3 linked regions of the Rattus norvegicus genome follow. The protein of the gene in region 3 purifies or fractionates together with the protein of the main gene of each other region. This does not show direct contact. Links are inferred from orthologs where the notes say so. Each region holds a gene or a part of one and is shown on either strand. Other genes may lie near its edges.

Region 1 (5,999 bases), on a different chromosome or scaffold from region 3:
AAGCATAAACCTGATACCCCTCTAAGTACCTAGGCCATGGTGTTTTATAACAACGGAAAAGAAGGGGCTGGGGATTTAGCTCAGTGGTAGAGCGCTTACCTAGGAAGCGCAAGGCCCTGGGTTCGGTCCCCAGCTCCGAAAAAAAGAACCAAAAAAAAAAAAAAAAAAAAAAAAACAACGGAAAAGAAATCCATATACATTTTGAGTTTAAAAAACAATAAAGTCGGGGTTGGGGATTTAGCTCAGTGGTAGAGTGTTTGCCTAGCAAGCGAAAGGCCCTGGGTTCGGTCCCCAGCTCCGAAAAAAAAAAAAAAACAATAAAGTCCCATTGAAACCCACTATTTTGTACACACACACACACACACACACACACACACACACACACATGCACGATACAAACAACTGCAGTGAGGGTGTGTTATATTGCCGTCTTTTACCTGCTTCATAGGAGTGTGAGTACCTATAGCTTCTCCAGACTGTACCTGCCTCGCTGCTCCGCATGTAGCATATGGAGAACCTTTCCTGAGGTCTCGGGAAAGACTGTCAACCCATGAGAGTTTCTTTGCTTTCTTCTTCCCTTCCCTTCCCCCCCCTTCTCTCTTCTTTTCCCTTCTTCTCCCTTCCCCCTCCCTCCTCCCCTCCTCTACTCCCTCCCCCTCCCTCCCTCCTCCTCTCCCCTTCCCCCTCTCCAGTGTCTCTTGTAACCAGGCAGGCCTTTAAACTCTGAGGATTTCCCTGAACTCCTGATCCTCCTCCTGGGAGGAGCACAGCACATGGCGTCGTTGTTGTTGTTGTTGTTTTTAATGTATGGATATGTATGGATATGAAATGACTTACAAACTCTTCCCTCAGCCTTCCCTGTTTATCAGATGCTATTTGGGAACCCTCGGGAGTCTACCATGTAACACCACGACAGCTAAGTCTTGCTCTAGCTTGCTAACTATTCTCCACAGCAGGTTTAAAGGCAAAAAACTTTCGGTCTGTTGCTCATATACCTGTCGCTTAGACTCTCTGTGTGTGTTCAAATCCACTAGTGTAATATCAACTGATTATGACTTATCCTGCTGCAAACCCCACTTTCCTCTTCAAAGCACCAGTCTGAACATCCTTGAGTAACAGTTAACGTGTAACAGTAACAGTTAACATTGACTGAGTAGTAGTCCACCCTGCTTACTTCCCTCTGAACAGCTTTAGAATACAGATATTCCTTCTTTCCAGGGACAGTGTGCATGTTTGTAATGCCAGCACTTGGAAGAGAAGCCAGGAGATCAGAGTTCCAGGCCATTCTTAGCTAGATATCAAGCTGAAGCCCAGCCTGGGCTACATGAGATTGGTTTCTATATAACCAAAAACAACAACGACAAAGAGGAGGAAAACTAATTGTTTATTGCTTTTCTTGTTCCTTTTGAGACAGGACATTGCCTTGTAGCCCTGGCTAGCTTAGAACTCAATGTGTAGCCCAGGCTGGCTTCAAACTGCCTCTGGCTATAATTGGGATTACAGGCATGCACCACCATGCTAACCAAGGTGACCACAATTATTAAGTATTGAGACTCAGACCAATAGAGATCTAGGTGCCTGTGAAAAATAGCTTTTATATAGATGTGTCTACATTAAGCAGTATCATTTCAAAGGCAGAACTGAAGAAAACTGTATTTTCAAAAAGGAGATAAAATTGTTTATCATCGCACACCTTCTGGGTTGGTCTCTCAGACATTTGAGCAGGTTAGCCATATAGCCAGTACTCCTGCCCAACAATTAAATCCACAAAAGCAGTTGCCTTTCTCCATTTTTTTCAGTAGACATATCCTTCCAGCCTCCCACCCTGTGTTATAGTATCATCAGAAATCAAAAAAAAAAGTTATTTCTTTGTGGGAGTCACAGGTACTTTAAGAATCTTTTAGCTTTCTCATTAGAAAAAAAAGTTAATGCACTTCACACATATTTTGAGTTTGCAGCGTCTATATGTGGCTCAGACCTGTAAATTCAATGCGCAGGTTTACAAGGCTAGCCTGGGCTACATGCTGAGTTCTAGACCTACCTGGGCTACAGAGTGAAGCCGTTTGAAAAAGAACTCTGTCGCTAAGGGCTAAGCTCTGTTTGTTAACACAAAGTGCACTTTCTAGGGGACCATCCATCCCACGCGCAAGGAGAACAAGCTGTAGCCGAGATGGACCTTAGGTGGCGCTGCAGGGACCGGTAAGGTGCTTCTCTAGAAGACGCGAGTAGGGGGCGGGTCGATCCGAGCCTTCTCTGCGGTGGGAGGAGCCTGAGCCGAGAGGAGACACGTGTCCAGCTGCGCGCACGCGCAGGATTGGTCACTCCCCCGGGAGTGAGGGCTGCCGGGGCGGATGACGTGGCCCGGTAACGTCCCTGCCCGTACGGCCTCCGGGGATCGGCGCTGCCGGAACAGCCCGCGGCCTAATCCCGCCCAACGTGCGTGCTCCTACCTGCCGAGCCCGGGCTAGCGGTGGGGACTGCTGAGCCTGAGAGGACGCGACTGAAATGGGGGAGTGACGCGCCTGCGCCCGCGCTTCCGCAGCGGCAGCAAGACATGAGGAGAGCCCGCGGCGTGGGCAGCGGCTCCTGAGCCGGCATGGAGGAGAAGTACGGCGGGGACCCGCGGCCCGGGCCCGGCGGCGGCCTCGGGCCGGTGGACGTGCCCAGCGCCCGGTAAGGAGGGATTCAACGGCCGGCGGCGGTGCGGACAAGCTTCCCCGCCTTGCTCGGACCCCGCCGGCTACCTCTACGGTCCATGGCTTGAGATCCGCGAGCGGGCGGGAGTCCGGGCTCAGAACGCACCTGAGTTTGCAGGTCCTGCCAGTTTGCAGTCCCTAGAGAGAGGACCTGAATGTTCCTCCCTGCCACTTAGGTAACGCAGAGCTCCTTAGCTTGTTCCAGGGCTCGCCGAGAGGATAAGCGGAAGGTGTCACCGTCTCAGGCGAGGAAACCAAAGTACAAGCCGATGAACTTCGGTGTACAGCACAGCAAAAATGCAACCCTGCCATCGAGTTTTCTTTGCCGTGGTTTTGTGGAGAGGGATGGGGACTTATTTTAATAGTAAGAGATATCTGTTACCCCTCTCCCCCCCCCCAAAACTCATACCGTACAGGAATTCGTAGCATGAAAATTCTTCTTTACCTTCCCTCCAACCTAAAGGCAAGGACCGAGTAGTGTACACTGGCGCGAGCCAGTTGTGTCCTTCCTGTCCTGTCCTAAGTTCGGAGGTAGTGTTAAAGCCCAAAGTTTCGTTCAAACTGATAATCAGTATGTACTCTGAGATTTCGTGATTGCTTTTGATAATGTTCTTAGACCGAGGTTACAGCGTTACCAGCTTACTTTTATCTGTGAAAAGACACATATGCTGAATAGATTTTAAACCAACTGCGGGATTTGCAGAATGCATTTGGTTTTCTATTTTCAGCAATTCATTTATAGCACGTCACGTGTTAACCAGTGACCCATAACAGCTAGTTGCAGCAGGGGCTACTGCTATGGATTGGTAATAGAGGGAAATACTAGAAGGGACAAGACTAGGTCACTTCACAAAATTGAACCATGGAGACAGATTAAAGTATCAGATCATTGTTAAATTTCCCGTTCATAACTCCTGATTTCATAGGCAGAGTTGCCATATTTTTAGGAAATAGAGATGTTTAGGGGTAAAATGTGACCATACTTCATTTATTCTCAAACAGCTCAAGGGTTTTGTGTATGAGAGGGAGGGAGTTGAGAGAGTATGAGTAGTTTAAGTGGTTTTGCCTTAGAGGCTACTGTCCTAGACAAATATGGTAAACATCCTTTGCCAACTTACCTACATTATTTGCTTAGTAGAGCTGCCCTTCTATTGTAGGTTATTTCAGAACTCAAATTTTGACCCAGAGCTGGCTGAATTTTAAGGGATTTCAGGTTGCCGGAGTTTTCTGTATGTTCAAGCACTGGTTATTAACAGCAACAAAAATGATCAGGCCCTTTCATTGTGGTTATTTTTATGCCTGAGTGCCCAAATGTTTTAAATAAAGGTTTGTATCGTGACTTCATTAAATCTTTGATGGTCAGGACAGCCAGCATTTGCCAAGTACCTCCTATGCCCCAAAGACTCTTAATGTATACCTCCCTTTAATCTTTTCAAGAACCCTACAGGCTAAGTGGTGGTAGCCTTGTTTGGTAGGTCAGGAAATTGAGTTGCCTAAGGTCACAAGGCTAATGAATGACCTGGTAGTGTGGGTTGTTTCAGAATCCATTGCCTTCTGTTTACACCTATGAATGCTTGAACATGTATTCAATGAATTGAACTGTTGTTGTTATTATACATATATATCATACTGTGGTGTCCAAGCTGGCCGCCTCCTTCCTGAGGTGTGTGAGTGCTGGCATAGACCACTGTGCATGGTCAGCAGCTTTGTTTGTATGTGAATTGTGTGCTGGTGTGGCCTGCTTTATCCCCTTGAGACAGGGTTCCTCACTGAGCCTGGAGCTAGCCTAGCAGCCCTCTGCCTCTGCAGGGCAGTGACTGCTACCCTGGCCTCATGTGAAAGCCAGGGGTTCAAGCTCACACTACACAGCAAGCACTCCTCCCCACTGAACCGGTTGAAAAGTGTTTATGTATGTATACTGTTGGGGCACCTTCTCCCTCGAGCCCCTCGATGCCTTCCTCCTCTCCTTTGATATCTAGAGACTGAGTGGCAGTGATGACTCATTTCAGGAAGGAACTATAAACTCAAATCTAAAATTTAATAATTGCAAGTACAGAGAACTGAGGAAATGTCTGACCTCATAGAAGACCAGTTACATTTTTTATTTGATCACTTCATAGCAAACAGTGATTTCTAAGTTGGGGGCTGGGTTGAATGTTCCTGCACTGCCCTGAGGCTCAGTGTCCTGTGTAAGAGCCTGTCTCCCATCCCTGTCTTCACCTGCCAATCGTTTCCCCCTTAACAGTGATTCTGTATATGGTTACTTAGCCTTAACTAGTGCTTCAAAGAACTTTAGAAGTCAAAGAATACAGAAGCTTCAGGATGTGGTAGGGCACGAGTTTAATCCCAGTGTTTGAGAGGCAGAGCGTCAGGCCAGATCTACAAAAAGAAGCCCTGACTTGAAAAAAAACACAGGAGCCAGCAAGATGGTTCAACAGGTATAGGCTCTTGCTGCCAAGACTTATGACTGAGTTTGACCCCCAGGACCCACGTGGTAGAAGGAGAGAGCCAGCTCTCACAAATTCTCTGACTTCATATGCTCTTATGCATGCATGTGTGTGCACACACATTAACAATAATAATGATAATAATATATGTAATAAGGGAATTTTTTTTTTTTGGTTCTTTTTTTTCGGTCCTGGGGACTGAACCCAGGGCCTTGCGCTTCCTAGGCAAGCGCTCTACCACTGAGCTAAATCCCCAACCCCAAGGGAATTTTTTAAATCAAAGAAGTTTAAAAGTTGAAGTGTTTTTTCCTAATTTGATAATTACAGCAAAAAGATCTTGAGTGCATATTGTATGAAAGATTTTAATATCACAATATGTGTACAACTGCAAATGTGAAGAAAATATTTGTTGACACACATAGGAACAGGTTTGTAAATTGTTTACCTGTGAGGAGAAAGCTAGAAGTGATTTTATTTAAAACCTTTCCCATAATCAGCTACTCGAGAATTAGCATTATTACCTCTCGGGTGCAATGCACATATGTATATATGAAAATAAGGTTAGTTTACTAATATATTATCAATGAGTATTTTATATGAATTCCTTCATATCTCTCCTTCAAGACCCACCTTTTAAATTTTTAATACTTTATAGAGGAATCTATAATCTTTGTAAAACAAGTATGTTAAGTGTAGTTTGGCTTTTCCTTGATTTTAATCATAAGCAATCTATTGCTAAATTAAACTAAACTGGCTAGATTGAACTAAACTTAATATACTAGGACCTTCAAGGTCTCCTGCCTAGTGCTCACATTTTTGTCTCTGCTCCTCTTTGCTCTGGCAGAGCCTTCCCTTC
Region 2 (6,008 bases), on a different chromosome or scaffold from region 3:
GGAGTGAATCTGAGGCAGCTCTACAGCTTCTCTGCTATGGCTCCTGCCTCAGCAACAGAGGAAAGCCCTTCTCCTAGTAGCACTGTGACCAGAGACAGGGTGCAGCTATTTTAATGGAATAGTCAACTTCGCACATCATGCTGAAGCCAGTTTTCTGTTTCTGGGTGGGGAGTGCTTAAATGTGTGCTTTTTCATAGCTTCAGTCTGCCTCTGCAGATCTCTGACATTATTACCTAATGTCCCAGGCCCAGCAATCAGTCAAAATTGTCCCTTACTGAGGCTATGTTGGCCTATCTTCCTGTGCTATGTCAAAGAGTTGGCTTTTCAGACACTAAGTCTTGCTCTTGAGAAACAGGAAGATCTGCAGAGCTGGGATTTCACCCTCAAGTATGAATACAGAGCCTCTAGAAATGATGGGTAACTGTTAGTTTGAAGCCTACATTCAGATCTGTGCTTATAGGTCCCTGACACCTTCCCTTCCCAGGTCTTAAATATCTATTCCTGTGCTCGGTGCCTTGGTTTGCACTCCGTTTACTCTTCTTCTCTTAATGATTTCTCTAGGCTGATCCAAACCTATTCGGAAAATCAGTGTTTAGATTCAACCGAATTCAAGTAGTTTTGTTTTTTTAAATCATTCGTTATTAGTAATCTTGATTCATGAAGAGAACAGCTGAGTTGGAAAGGTCTGATTCCGTGGACTCTGTCCTGCCCTTTGTAGATTTCATTACCACCGTAACTGTGCTGTGGATGGGAAGCACTTTCTCCAAAATTAGAAGGAAAGCTGGGCCTCCGCCGTGGGCTTCCCTTAGTGACAGTTAAAGTCCAAGGTGGGCTGTGATTCATATTTCCATTGTTATAGTTGGCTCTTTTCTAATCCTTGGAAGAACTAAAGGGTTCGTTGGGTTCCTTATACTGCCTCATAGAGGTAAAACGGGTACCTTTAAATTTCAGATACATATACATGAAATAATGCTGTGACTGAAGCTTTAGCCCTCTAGTTGCCACAATGTGGAATTCTGGAAAATTTTGAAAGGACCGTGAGAGATTGGGGAGTATGGAAGAATCCCACTAACGGCTGTGGCTGTTGATTGCTTTTCATGGCCACACTTCAGTGTTTAACCGAGTATTTAGATAAACCTGTGCAAACCAGGTGAACACTTGGTTTGTAAGCAAATATCCCCAAAACACTGGTGGTGCTGGGAACACTGGCTCAAGAGCTCTAGCTTGTTTGGAAGGTGTTATATATTTTAAAGAAGTTGACAATGTGTTTTATCAGATAATTACAAGCCTTAAAATATCACGGCAATTTGGATATTTTTATGCTTTGCACCAAAAGGATCTACTGATAAATCCTGTATAACTGAAGTCATTACTGTTTGTGTAATCCCCAGATTAACTCCTGGGTTTGAGGACTGTGGTCACTCCACCATCTTCTTCCACTAAGGGCAAGGCCTCATGACTTCTCAGAATGTCTTCCTTTGGCAGCCGGAGTTAGGTCATGGATTGGTTGGCTTCTCCATGTGAGAGAAAGAGGGATATGAGAAGCTCAATGTGCTTTCAGTCAGATATTTATTGAGCACCTGGAAGCTGTTTCATACACAGGTAAAAACAAAAGGCAAACAGCTTCTTTCAAGGAGTTCGAGGCTGCCAGACAGGCCGCGGTAGCCATGCTGAATAGGTTTGGCTCTCTATGCCTCTCTATGCCTCTCCTCAGTTCTCTCAGGCAAGTTCCTTATTCCCTAGGACTTTACTTCCTGGGTAATCATTCTTCAGTCTGTTAGGAGTATTAAATTAATATACATGGAAAGCATGTTGAAGGTACCTGACACATAAAGCTGGCAATTACTATTGCTCAGAGTTATATGCACCCTGTTGGTCCATAAAGCACCCACCCCCAGAATTCACTTTCACTAGTAAGTGCGCTCAGCTTGAATACAGAAACACAGGCTTCTGGGCAGAATACAAATAAGCCTAGACATGAATTAAAAGCCAGGAAGCAGAGCAATGAATAATGAAGCAAAAGGTTTGCCCAGCCTCCTTTTAAGAAAATTGTGGGTTGTTAGTTGCTTAAGAGGGGAGGAGGCCATTGAGAATGGCGGTGTGAGCAAAGGGATGCAAGAACCGGCAGGATGTAGGCATGAGTCCACCGGTGTTGCTGGGTGGATCGGGGTCTTGCCTTTGGGTGTAAAACTGTTCCAGTAGTTAAGGTTGGGGAAAGTCCTTGGATGGGTACCCAAAGCTATCATAATTACGTGACACTTTTAAAGTCAACACCTTTCTGTTCAGGAAAACCCATTGTAAGTGCTCTTTAAATGGGGGTGCGGTGGGGGGAGTTATGCAAAACACTTTGCACAAAGCACCAAAGTTTAGTTTTGCCCAGACTGGCACGGTTGCTGGGGCAGAGGGGGCGGAGTTAATTTAATATAGTTGTTTAACCCGCGTACAGATCAGTAAACCTAATTGATCTCTCCGAAACTCTGGCCTAGGACGCTCGCTTTCCGGGCTTCTATGTCTCATCCGCTAGCCCAAGGCCTCAGCAACCTACGTGCGAGGCCAGGAGAGGCGACCAAGGCCGCTCCACGCATGCGTTAGAAGCCGCCCCAACTGCCCCCAAGGAGTCCTTTCTCCGAACAAAACTAGCGCGGAGCTACAGGGCTCCGCAACTTGCGTAGATATAATTTCTTCCAGTTCCGCCTGCCGGTGTAGCTCCCCCGGTGCCGCGGCTCTCCTACGCCAGGCGCGTCCGCGAAGTGGATGGCTGGACGCTGCGAGTGCGCCGCCGGCGTAGCGCTGATCAGGCCGAGGTGCGACTGCGCAGGGCACCCGAGAGGGCTGGGTGCGCCGCTGGCGTAGAGCTGAGGCAGCCAGGGTGCGGCTGCGCAGGGCGCCAGAACAGACTGAGTGCGCCGCCGGCGTAGAGCGCCGGCTCGCGCACTAGGCTCCGCGACGCAGATAGCGCAGGCGGCTTTGGAGAATACACGACTGGGTGCAGCCGGGGTTTGGTACCGAGCGGAGAGGAGATGCACACGGCACTCGAGTGTGAGGTAACTATAAAACCCCGATTTGTTTACATTCCCTCCCCCAGAACCGGCCCCGTGCGCGGCGGAGCCTGGGAGTCCCGGGACGGCAGGGGAGGCCGGGCTGGGGCTGGCACCGGGGCCTCCGGGCTGGGGCTCGTGTGTTCGCAGCTGCTGCAGGCGGTGGCGGCGAGCAGGAGAGCAGCGCGTGGGGCTGGGACCAGCCGAGTGCGCCGCGGGCGGCGGTGGGGACCCGTGTCCCTCGGCCTGCTGCGGGGACGCGGGGCGGGTGGCGCCTGTTGAGGGCTGCGCGGGCTTCCCGCGGCCGCCGTACGGGGACCCGGGACCCGAGGCAGGTCCCAGGGGCTCGTCTGCGGGGGGTAACGGACGGCGGCCGCTCAGCTCCGGGCCAACCGAAAAGGCTCGATGGAGCGCGCGGGAGCTGTGGCGCAGTCCACCGGTCCCCGAGCCCTGGTCGTGAGACGACCGTGGCCCGGCCGCGGGCTTTGTTCCCGGGCACCAGGGTGTAGGGCGGCGTGGGCGCGGTTGGGAGCGGAGGGAAGTGGCCGGCCCGCCGCGGGGTCCGCATCCGCTCCACGCCTCGCTCCTCCCTTGGGGGGTCTTCGGAACTCCCCAGCCTGGCGAGGCGTCGGGTGGCGTGACGTGGAAGGGCTTCCTGCGGCTTCTGAGAAGACGCGTTCACGTGGGAGCCTGTCCACATGGGCCGAGTTTAAGGAGCTGGGCACGTGGAAGAAATCTCACCGCAGGACGCCCCACCACCGATTTGGAAGGGTCCTTCACCAAAGTGTCTGCTCCAAGTGACACAAAGCATGAGTTAACAGACAGTACAACCTACCGTCTTCTAGAAACTTACATTTATGTCTCCATTGTTAAGTGCGGTAACTAGCGGGTGACAGGTTTCTTGTATGTTTTCTTTTTGGATGTGTATCTAACGATAATTAAGAAAAAAGTAATACAAGAGCTGGAGGCTTAGAATTGTAACAGTGCCGTTGGGAAGCCTAAACAAAGCAAAACTGCGGTGTACAGAGTAATGTCAGGATTCCCCTATTCTACACTTACCTTGTGAGTCATTTCTCCTGGACCTTGGGAATCCACCCCCCACACCCCCACTTCCGGTGTGCTTTGGACGTTACACCAGGGCGAAAGACATCAGTGAAATGCTGTGAAGGAAATAAAATGTGCTGGTGGGCATTTTTTAACATTTTATGTCTTCTAGACTGAAGGGTTTTTCATCGTGACTTTAGATAGGTAAGGATACATCTCTATAGTTGTTGATTTACCTTGAAACAGTTATGGGGAAACTACATGGTTTGATGGAGTAAACCATGCTTTAATAAAACATTAAATATCAACTGTACTGGCCTGCCTAATAATGACTAACTTTAAACTAGCAAGAATTAAAAACTATACTTGAAGGATTTAAGTGTTTTTGTATCACTGATTTTGGCCTAGAAACAGGAAGTTACTTCCTCACTAGAAAGTAACTGAATTTCAGTGGTTTTAATCTCTCCCCAAATTGACAAAACTGAATTCTTTCAACTAATCATGGTTAGGAACCCATGTTCAAGAATAAATGGTTTTGGCGCTACTTTGAAAGAGAATTTCTCGGGTGGTACATAAGGCACAGACATAAACCCAGCTACGGGGGACTGAGGAAGGAAGCTGGCAAGTTCGCGTCCCGGAGCTTGTCTTAAAAGTTAAGTAAAATAACTCAGTGGTAGGAAACTTACCCGGGGTTTGCACAAATCTAGGCTTAATCGTTAGTACTGCAGATAATGGAGATGTTCAAGCTTAAGTGTATGTATCACGAGCTATGCAAGTGAATACCCTTTTCACGAAGTGTTCAGGACCGGAAGTGTCGCCAACTTCTGGTTGTGAGTTGGGAGATACTTGGATATATTAAATAATGGAGAATTTCTTGGTCAAGGACCCAATTCTAAACATGAGTTCAACGTTTAATTTGTATGAGCCAGTGTACTTAGACCGAAGGTAATTTTACAACCTTTTCCCTGAGGTTGAGTTTGACCGAGGCCTATCAAGACACAATCCCTGCATTTTAGTTCCCAGAACATTGTAGATTTTATAACGAGGCGCTGCCTGCATTAGGTCTTCCTTCTTATAGCCTTAGTCCACTAATAGATTGTAAACTACTGTCCTCATCCCGCTTTTTTGTCCAGACTTTTGGTTTTTCTCAGTGCCGTCCCTGTGTAGCTCAGGTGTGCCTGGAACTCATAGATCACCTTCCTCAGTCTTTGAGGTTACCCTCGGCTCTCAGCAGACTTTAAACCCTGGTTGAAGTACTTTGAGAAGGCCTAATGTTTAGCATGCAAGCATTGCTCTAGGAAACCCCCAAACCTCCCTCTTTTTTGCCTGATAATTGATTAACCCTAGGATGATACTGAATGGTTTCTACTCCTTAGTCCTTTGAGAGGATACATCTTTTAAATTTGTAACTGATATGTAATAGCTGATTTGCCTTTTCTCCACTTCTTTCCTGTACTTACCTGTGTATGTTTTGGTTTCTTTACAAAGCCAGATTCCTGAAGCCTTTACCCGAATCCCTATGCCATGACACTTTCAGTTCAAACTCAGCATAGACTTAAAATCATTTGGGTAAAAATACTAGTCATCCATGTGGTGCCTACCTCAGAAGTGGAAGTACTGAGTTTTGTATCAAAAGGACTCTGTCACAGTGCTTTGGACCAATGTTAGAGAAAGACAATTGCAACTGGAAGAGAAACAGAGGCAATTAGAGCAGCTTTTGATCACAGTGATTTAATTTTAAGCCATCTTTCATTACAGTGTAATTCACATTAGAAATATACAAGAGGCTGGGGTGTGTCTTAGCAGATGACTTCCTGAATTCTATCTCTAGTCCTTAGAGCAAAATGAGTGAATACAGTCTCATATCCTCATCAGTCTTGTGTCTGAGTTGATTGCCCGGTACAATCCTCAACAGTTTGCTGCCCC
Region 3 (6,201 bases):
CTAGTAACTGGAGCCTTGAGGAGCCTTTCAAGTTTCAATAGCTCCATAATAGCTCCTTAGCTGCAAGCACTAGGTAGAATGCACTCAAAGCACTTCATCCAAAGGTTTTGTGTTGTTCTCTTTTTTATGTTCTGTGGGCTGACAATGACAAGTGACATCTAGCTCTTGCTACTCTCTCTTTCCCCCCAGAGTCCATCCTCCCATCCTGTGACTGAGAATTGTACAGGTGACCAATGAAGTCAGGAATTTTCTCTTGGGAGGAATAAACAGATTTTTAATTTAAACAGATTTTAAAAGCTATATACTTTTAAAAGGGCAGAGAAGATACTGTTGCTCACTGATTACTCAACTCTATGTCTTCACCCTGCACACACACACACTCAGGGGTACAGACCATAGCTGAACCAATGTGGTGGCTGTTTCAACAAAAACTCTGACACTTGAATTTCATATGTGAAATTCTCATGTTACAAAATACTATTTTCCACACCCACTGTTAACCACTTAAAAACATGAGACTATTCTTAATTCACAGGCCACTTAAGTCAGTGAGACTAGTCTGGTCATGCCCCTTCTCCAAAGGAGCCCTTGCTCCTCACAAGGTAAAGCCTAACTCAGTTCTGAAGTTCGTACACTGGACTGAGGTACTGAGTCTTCAAGTTAAGCCCTTGTTTACCTTGAGCCTTGATCTCTAGCTCTAACTACTCCACAGCAATGTTTAATGACTAAACATTACCAAAACCCTGCAGCCTAAGTCCTTCCTAAGACACTCCAAGGAAACCTGTGCTGAGTATGGGGTAGCCCATAATTCTTCTTTCATGAAACTCCAACAGAACCAGATGCTGCTGGCCTTGGAACCCACACACCCAAATGAACACCAGAAAACCTCTATAAAACTATTAATTTGAAGAGGGGAAGCCATTAAAGCTACTTCACAAGCAAGAAAGTTATGTAGCAAACCAGGATTCTGGAATATAAAAGAAATAAACCATATGCTCTGCTGGGGTGCAGAAAGGACACCCTCCCACTCTGCATTAGTTCTTGGTGGCTTCTAGGCACGCACTTTCGTCCTGGTCATTTTCCTCTTTACTCACAGACATTTTCCTAACAAATGTATTCACCTCAAAAATAATGTCTGGCAGAGTATAATGATGCACACTTAAAATAATCCCAGTACTCAGAAGGCCAAGGCAAAGGGATGTCATCCTGATGTTATTCTGATGTCATCCTGAGCTACACAGTCCCTGTCTCAAAAAACTAAGGGTAGCCAGGTGGTGCGTGCCTTTAATCCTAGCACATAAGAGGCAGAGGTAAGCAGATCTCTGAGTTCAGTATCAGCCTCATCTACTAATTGAGTTCCAGGATACCCAGAGCCACACAGAGAAACCCTATCTAGAAAAACAAACAAAATAAACAGCCAAAGAGCAGCCAGCCATGATCATGGAACACCTGTAATTCTAGCATTCTGGAAACTGAGACAGAAATTGCTTTGAGTTCAAAGTCAGCCTGGACTACATAGAAGTACTAGGCCAGCCAGAGCTACATGGCCCTGTTTCAAAATTACAGACTGACTGACTGACTGACTGACTGACTGACTGACTGACTATGGATGTGGCTCAGTGGTACAGTACTTGTCTAGCATGTACAAGTCCTGAGTTTGATCCTCAACACCACAGAAATAAACGAACGTATGCAGTTAGAAAATGCCCTCTACTGGGAAACACTGAGATTGTGTTCACTGCCACCATTTCTCCTGGGCTCTACAGTAACTAATTTTTCAGTTTTTAAAATAAGTTCAATTTTAAAAGTTTTTTTAAAAAAATATTGTGTGTGTCCACGTGCACACACTCATGTGCTAAAGAGGTCCAGAGATTTCCAATCCTGCAGGAGCTGGAGTTAGAGTTGTGAGCTGTCTGATGTAGGTACTGAAAATTGAACAGCACATTCTCTTAACTACTGAGCCATCCCATAAGCACAATGTTTATGACCACTTAAATCAAGCCACTGCAGTAATCACAAGTGTTATCATAAATACCAACAACTGGGAGACTCAACCATAATTCCTCATAGGGAATAATCATTTTTTTCTATCCACTCCATGTTAAACACAGCATTTCCAAGTTCTTGTACCACATGGGCAAGAGGCACCTGATCCTGTATAATTACCAGTGTAGTACTTCAGAGTTGTCTCTATGACACTGAGCCACCATAAAATAGTCCGTGGCAAAAAGCATGGTTATACAATTTAAGATTGTATACTAAGTTTATATGCACTCCCAACAGACCCACATAAAGGTCATCTAAAACACCACGATCACTAGGGAATTTAAAATAATGTAAATCTAGGATTCCTTCCAAAATAGAAAATGAAGTCTGAGTATTGATCAAGTTTCCAGGACCTGAGTTCCATCCCAACATCATAAAAAACAACACAACCCAGTACTTAGCAAATAAAACCATAATGCTACTTTTATACATAAAAAGGTGAGGTTCAAATGACACGAGGAATAATTCCTTACATCTCTCTGTAAAACAAGATGTACTAAACTCGGGCATTTAGAAGCCCAAAGTTTGTCTAAATTCAAAGGCTTCTTCTCTTCTGTGACTGCAAGGTTAACCACAAACTACTTACAGTCAAATATCTCCCTCTTAATTCAACAGCTGACCCATGTATGTTTCTTTAAGTGGTAGAAATAGCTAAGGAAAAGACCATCCAAACCCATCCTACTGGTAGAACCCCCCCTCCCCTCCGCACCCCACCACGGCTCACAATCCATAACTACAGGAATTCACAGCTGTAAAGTTCAGATTGTAAAAACCTCTCCCTCTAAAGCTTGCATCATCTTGCTCCTCCTTCCAACCTTTCTGGTCAGCTAACTAAACCCAAGTTTAAAGGACACGTCTCATAGGCAGAGGGGGAGGAGGGTTCCTAGGCTGGGAGCCCAGACCTGTCAAACACATTTTTTAAGTGCTTCGGGGAAATGTCAGTCGAAACGTTCACGAGGCCCAGTTAAATGTCTTTATAACCCTTTGTATATCCAGAGAGTCGGCTAGACAAAAAGAGACCGGCTTTCGGGTTTTGTTCCTCTGAGGGAGAGGAGGGCTGGGGCGGTTTTCTGCTCAGGCCCCTGTGCCAGTTGTGTGGCCCACCCCAAAGTTGCTCGGGTCCGGAGGCCAGACGCGGACGCCCGGCGAGGACGCGGCGGACGGCCTGGAACAATGCGGGGCTCCGGGGCGCCCACGCTGGGGCCTGGGGAGCCAGGCAGCAAAGGCTGTCCCCCGCCCGCGCCGCCAAACAAAAGGCGCCGCTGGGCCAGCGCCCGGGCCCGGAAAAGTTTGTGAGAGGCTGGGGCCGAGGCCCGCGCGCGCCGCCCCGCACAATGGCCCGGCCGAGCGCGGGAAGGCCGAGCGCCACGCCCCCGCTCCGCAGGGCCGCGGCCCAGTACCTGGTGCGTGTCCTTCCCGCCGCCCGTGGCCGCCGCTGGCCCGCCAGGGCCGCTAGTCATGTTCACGTACAGAGAGCGGGAGAGCGGGCTCCGCAGCGTCCACATCCTCCGCGCCAGCCACACGGACGCCAGGCTCAGGCACAGCCAGCCCGCCAACAGTCTCATCGGGGGGCCGCGGCCGCCAGCTCGGATCACCGCCGGGCCCAAGCCCAGGAGGAGGAGGAGGAGCCGCCGCCTCCGGCCACCGTCGTCGCCGCCGGAGCTCGAGCCATCGCCGCCAAGTCGCCCGTGCAGCCCCCTTCGGGGCCGAGGCGGGGAGGTGGGAGGAGCGGCAGGCGCACGGCCTTCTCACGTCCCCCGCGGCCCTTCCCGACCCGGAACGCCAAGGACTCCAGCTCCGGTTTCCACCCGGTGCACGTACAAATGCAGGAGGGGCGTTCTCCCTGCCCAATGAGCGGAGACGGGGAGGCCCGGGAGGTGGAAGAAAGGGCGTATACGTTCTCCGTGGCGCCGCCTGGACTCATAATGGCGGAAGGTTGGGGGAGACTTCTTACAGGGGTTACTGGACTCTTGACGCTCCGAGGAGGGCCTGCAGGACTTCCGGTCTTTCCTTGCCTTAGTAATAACTACCCAATGGGCCCCTCGACTACTCCTTTGACCTAAATGTTCACACTGACTCGAGGACGAAGGGACCTCATCCCTTTCCCGAGTCGTGATACACTCAGACCCAGCTTAATTCGACAGACCAGCGCTGCCCTTCTTGCTACAGTCATGTCTATTTAATAATTCTGTCTGGGGTCAGCGAACCTGACTCCCAACTCAAAAAACCACCCGGTAGCGGAGAATCTAGGGGAAAAAGGACCTCACTGCTACTCCCAGCCCCAGCATTCCTAAGCCTGAGGAGCTGCTGTCACAGGTCTTCACATGAAGCCTTCATGAATGGAAGCTCTGCTTTGTTGGAAGCTGATGCTGCTGGAGCACTCAGTGAAATGTGATGGAAAATAACAACTTTTCGACAACAAAGGCCACAACTTTCCTTGTTTCCTTGAGCTGACAGAAGTTGGGCCAGGCACTCAGTCTGGGGAGATGTAGCCAGATGTTTCTTAGATCATTTATAGCGGGAAGAAGCCCAATGTTTCTAAACTGAGGGTTCCTGTGTCTCAACTTCCTGTTGTTACTAAGCTACAACTAGAGAGTAACATATTTCCTAGCCCAGCTACTCACATCTTCCTAGGTTTGGAAAAACACGATTTTCATTTGACAGCACCAGAGATTCTGTACATTCTTTAGTATAAAACAATTCATCTTTATATTAATTTCATCACACTACATTAATGAGATTTCCATTTATGAAATAGTGTCCCAGAGATGAGAAATGTCACCCCTTACCACAAACTCTTTAGGTGTTAAAGAATCTCTGCCTTCTTTCCATATTAAGAATATTTTATTACCTAATGTGCATAGAATATAACAAAATACTTCATATTCTCTCATTCTGGTATATTCCCTGACATCTCCCTGTTAGGTATAAAACCAAAGACTAAACCTTGCTAAATTATGCTCAACTTTCCAGAAGTACTGGTCCAACATACATAAAAGAAGCTATAATAGTGAGTGCAAATGACTGTATTATGTCACCTCTTTGAGCTCCAATAAAGTTCTTCTGTACCAAATCAGAGTCCTCATCTTTTTTAGGTAAAGAGGAGATGCAAAGCAACAAGCGTGCATAACCAGGCACACTTCATTACTAAAGACAAAGAATACAGAGAACTGTGCCTTAACTGTACATTAAGCTTGCTTAACCACAGCTCCAAGACCTCAAAATGTGTCCTCTAAACAAGAACCAAAGAATTTGAGATCAACTGACAGTTAAAAAGCCTACCAAATTTTGCTTTATGCCTGAGCAGCTCACCTAGGAAAAAGTAAATTACCCTCACATTCAAACTACACTACAATCACAAACTATTTGTGTGATTTACATTTAGGGAGCACAGGAGGAAATGAAAGCACAGCATAAGCAAATTAAAAGCAAATTCGATAGCAAACCTTCTTAAAGAGGGTGGCATCCCCGCTTCTGGCTGCTTGATCCATCCAAGAAGCCTTGTCGTCTCTCCTCTCAGCCTCCTGAATTACAAATCAGGAGGAAGGAAAGCTGCAAGAGTAAATATACCAAGCAGAAGTTCAGATTGCCCTCTGGGACAGCCCCCTCTTACCATGTCACTACTGTACATTAAAACCTCAGTTATCCATGATGGGAACAGCAAGAGGCACCTCTAATACAGAAAGCCAACTGTGAGCCAATATCCTTTCCAATGTGGTTTTGAAGTGTAGGCAGTGGCACTCAAGAGTCACATACCTGCTGTCTTGTGCCTGCTGACTTCGAGTGTCTTGCCTGGGTTTCTGTTCTATTACCAGAAATTGTGGCTCGGTTACTTTACAAATACCCAGGCAAGTAGCTTGTTTCTTAAGCAACTTCCCCCAACTCTTCCCTTACCTCCCCCTCCCCTTCATCCTCTCTCTTTAACCCTTCTTTCCTTTTCATCGGGCCTTGTTATACAGGCTAAGCTGGCCTTGAACTCACAATCATCCTGACTATGCCTCACAAATACAGATATCACAAGAATGTGCTGCCACTCCTAACTTCATGTTTGCTTTTCAATTTCAAAGTACAATGTGAAGAAAAACCACAGAAAGAAGTAGCAATGGATGATGATAGATAGATAGATATGGAAAGAGAGATGTGGATTTGCAGAAG

The links.
Region 1: the proteins of Mettl9 (region 3) and Slc30a5 purify together in Homo sapiens (co-immunoprecipitation; 3 studies listed by BioGRID and IntAct, with this or other methods). This does not show direct contact. The link is inferred for Rattus norvegicus from reciprocal best matches to the Homo sapiens genes METTL9 and SLC30A5.
Region 2: the proteins of Mettl9 (region 3) and Slc39a10 purify together in Homo sapiens (co-immunoprecipitation; 3 studies listed by BioGRID and IntAct, with this or other methods). This does not show direct contact. The link is inferred for Rattus norvegicus from reciprocal best matches to the Homo sapiens genes METTL9 and SLC39A10.

What each region holds. Positions count from the first base shown.
Region 1 is NC_086020.1:33,706,347-33,712,345, reverse strand, and holds the start of Slc30a5 (proton-coupled zinc antiporter SLC30A5), read left to right. Parts: upstream 1-2,447; 5' UTR 2,448-2,596; coding exon 2,597-2,673; intron 2,674-5,999. UniProt on the Homo sapiens protein: Together with SLC30A6 forms a functional proton-coupled zinc ion antiporter mediating zinc entry into the lumen of organelles along the secretory pathway.
Region 2 is NC_086027.1:62,402,977-62,408,984, forward strand, and holds the start of Slc39a10 (zinc transporter ZIP10 precursor), read left to right. Parts: upstream 1-2,456; 5' UTR 2,457-3,044; intron 3,045-6,008. UniProt on the Homo sapiens protein: Zinc-influx transporter. When associated with SLC39A6, the heterodimer formed by SLC39A10 and SLC39A6 mediates cellular zinc uptake to trigger cells to undergo epithelial-to-mesenchymal transition (EMT).
Region 3 is NC_086019.1:185,006,726-185,012,926, reverse strand, and holds the start of Mettl9 (protein-L-histidine N-pros-methyltransferase precursor), read right to left. Parts: upstream 3,612-6,201; coding exon 3,447-3,611; intron 2,042-3,446; coding exon of another isoform or gene 2,040-2,041; intron 1-2,039. UniProt on the Homo sapiens protein: Protein-histidine N-methyltransferase that specifically catalyzes 1-methylhistidine (pros-methylhistidine) methylation of target proteins.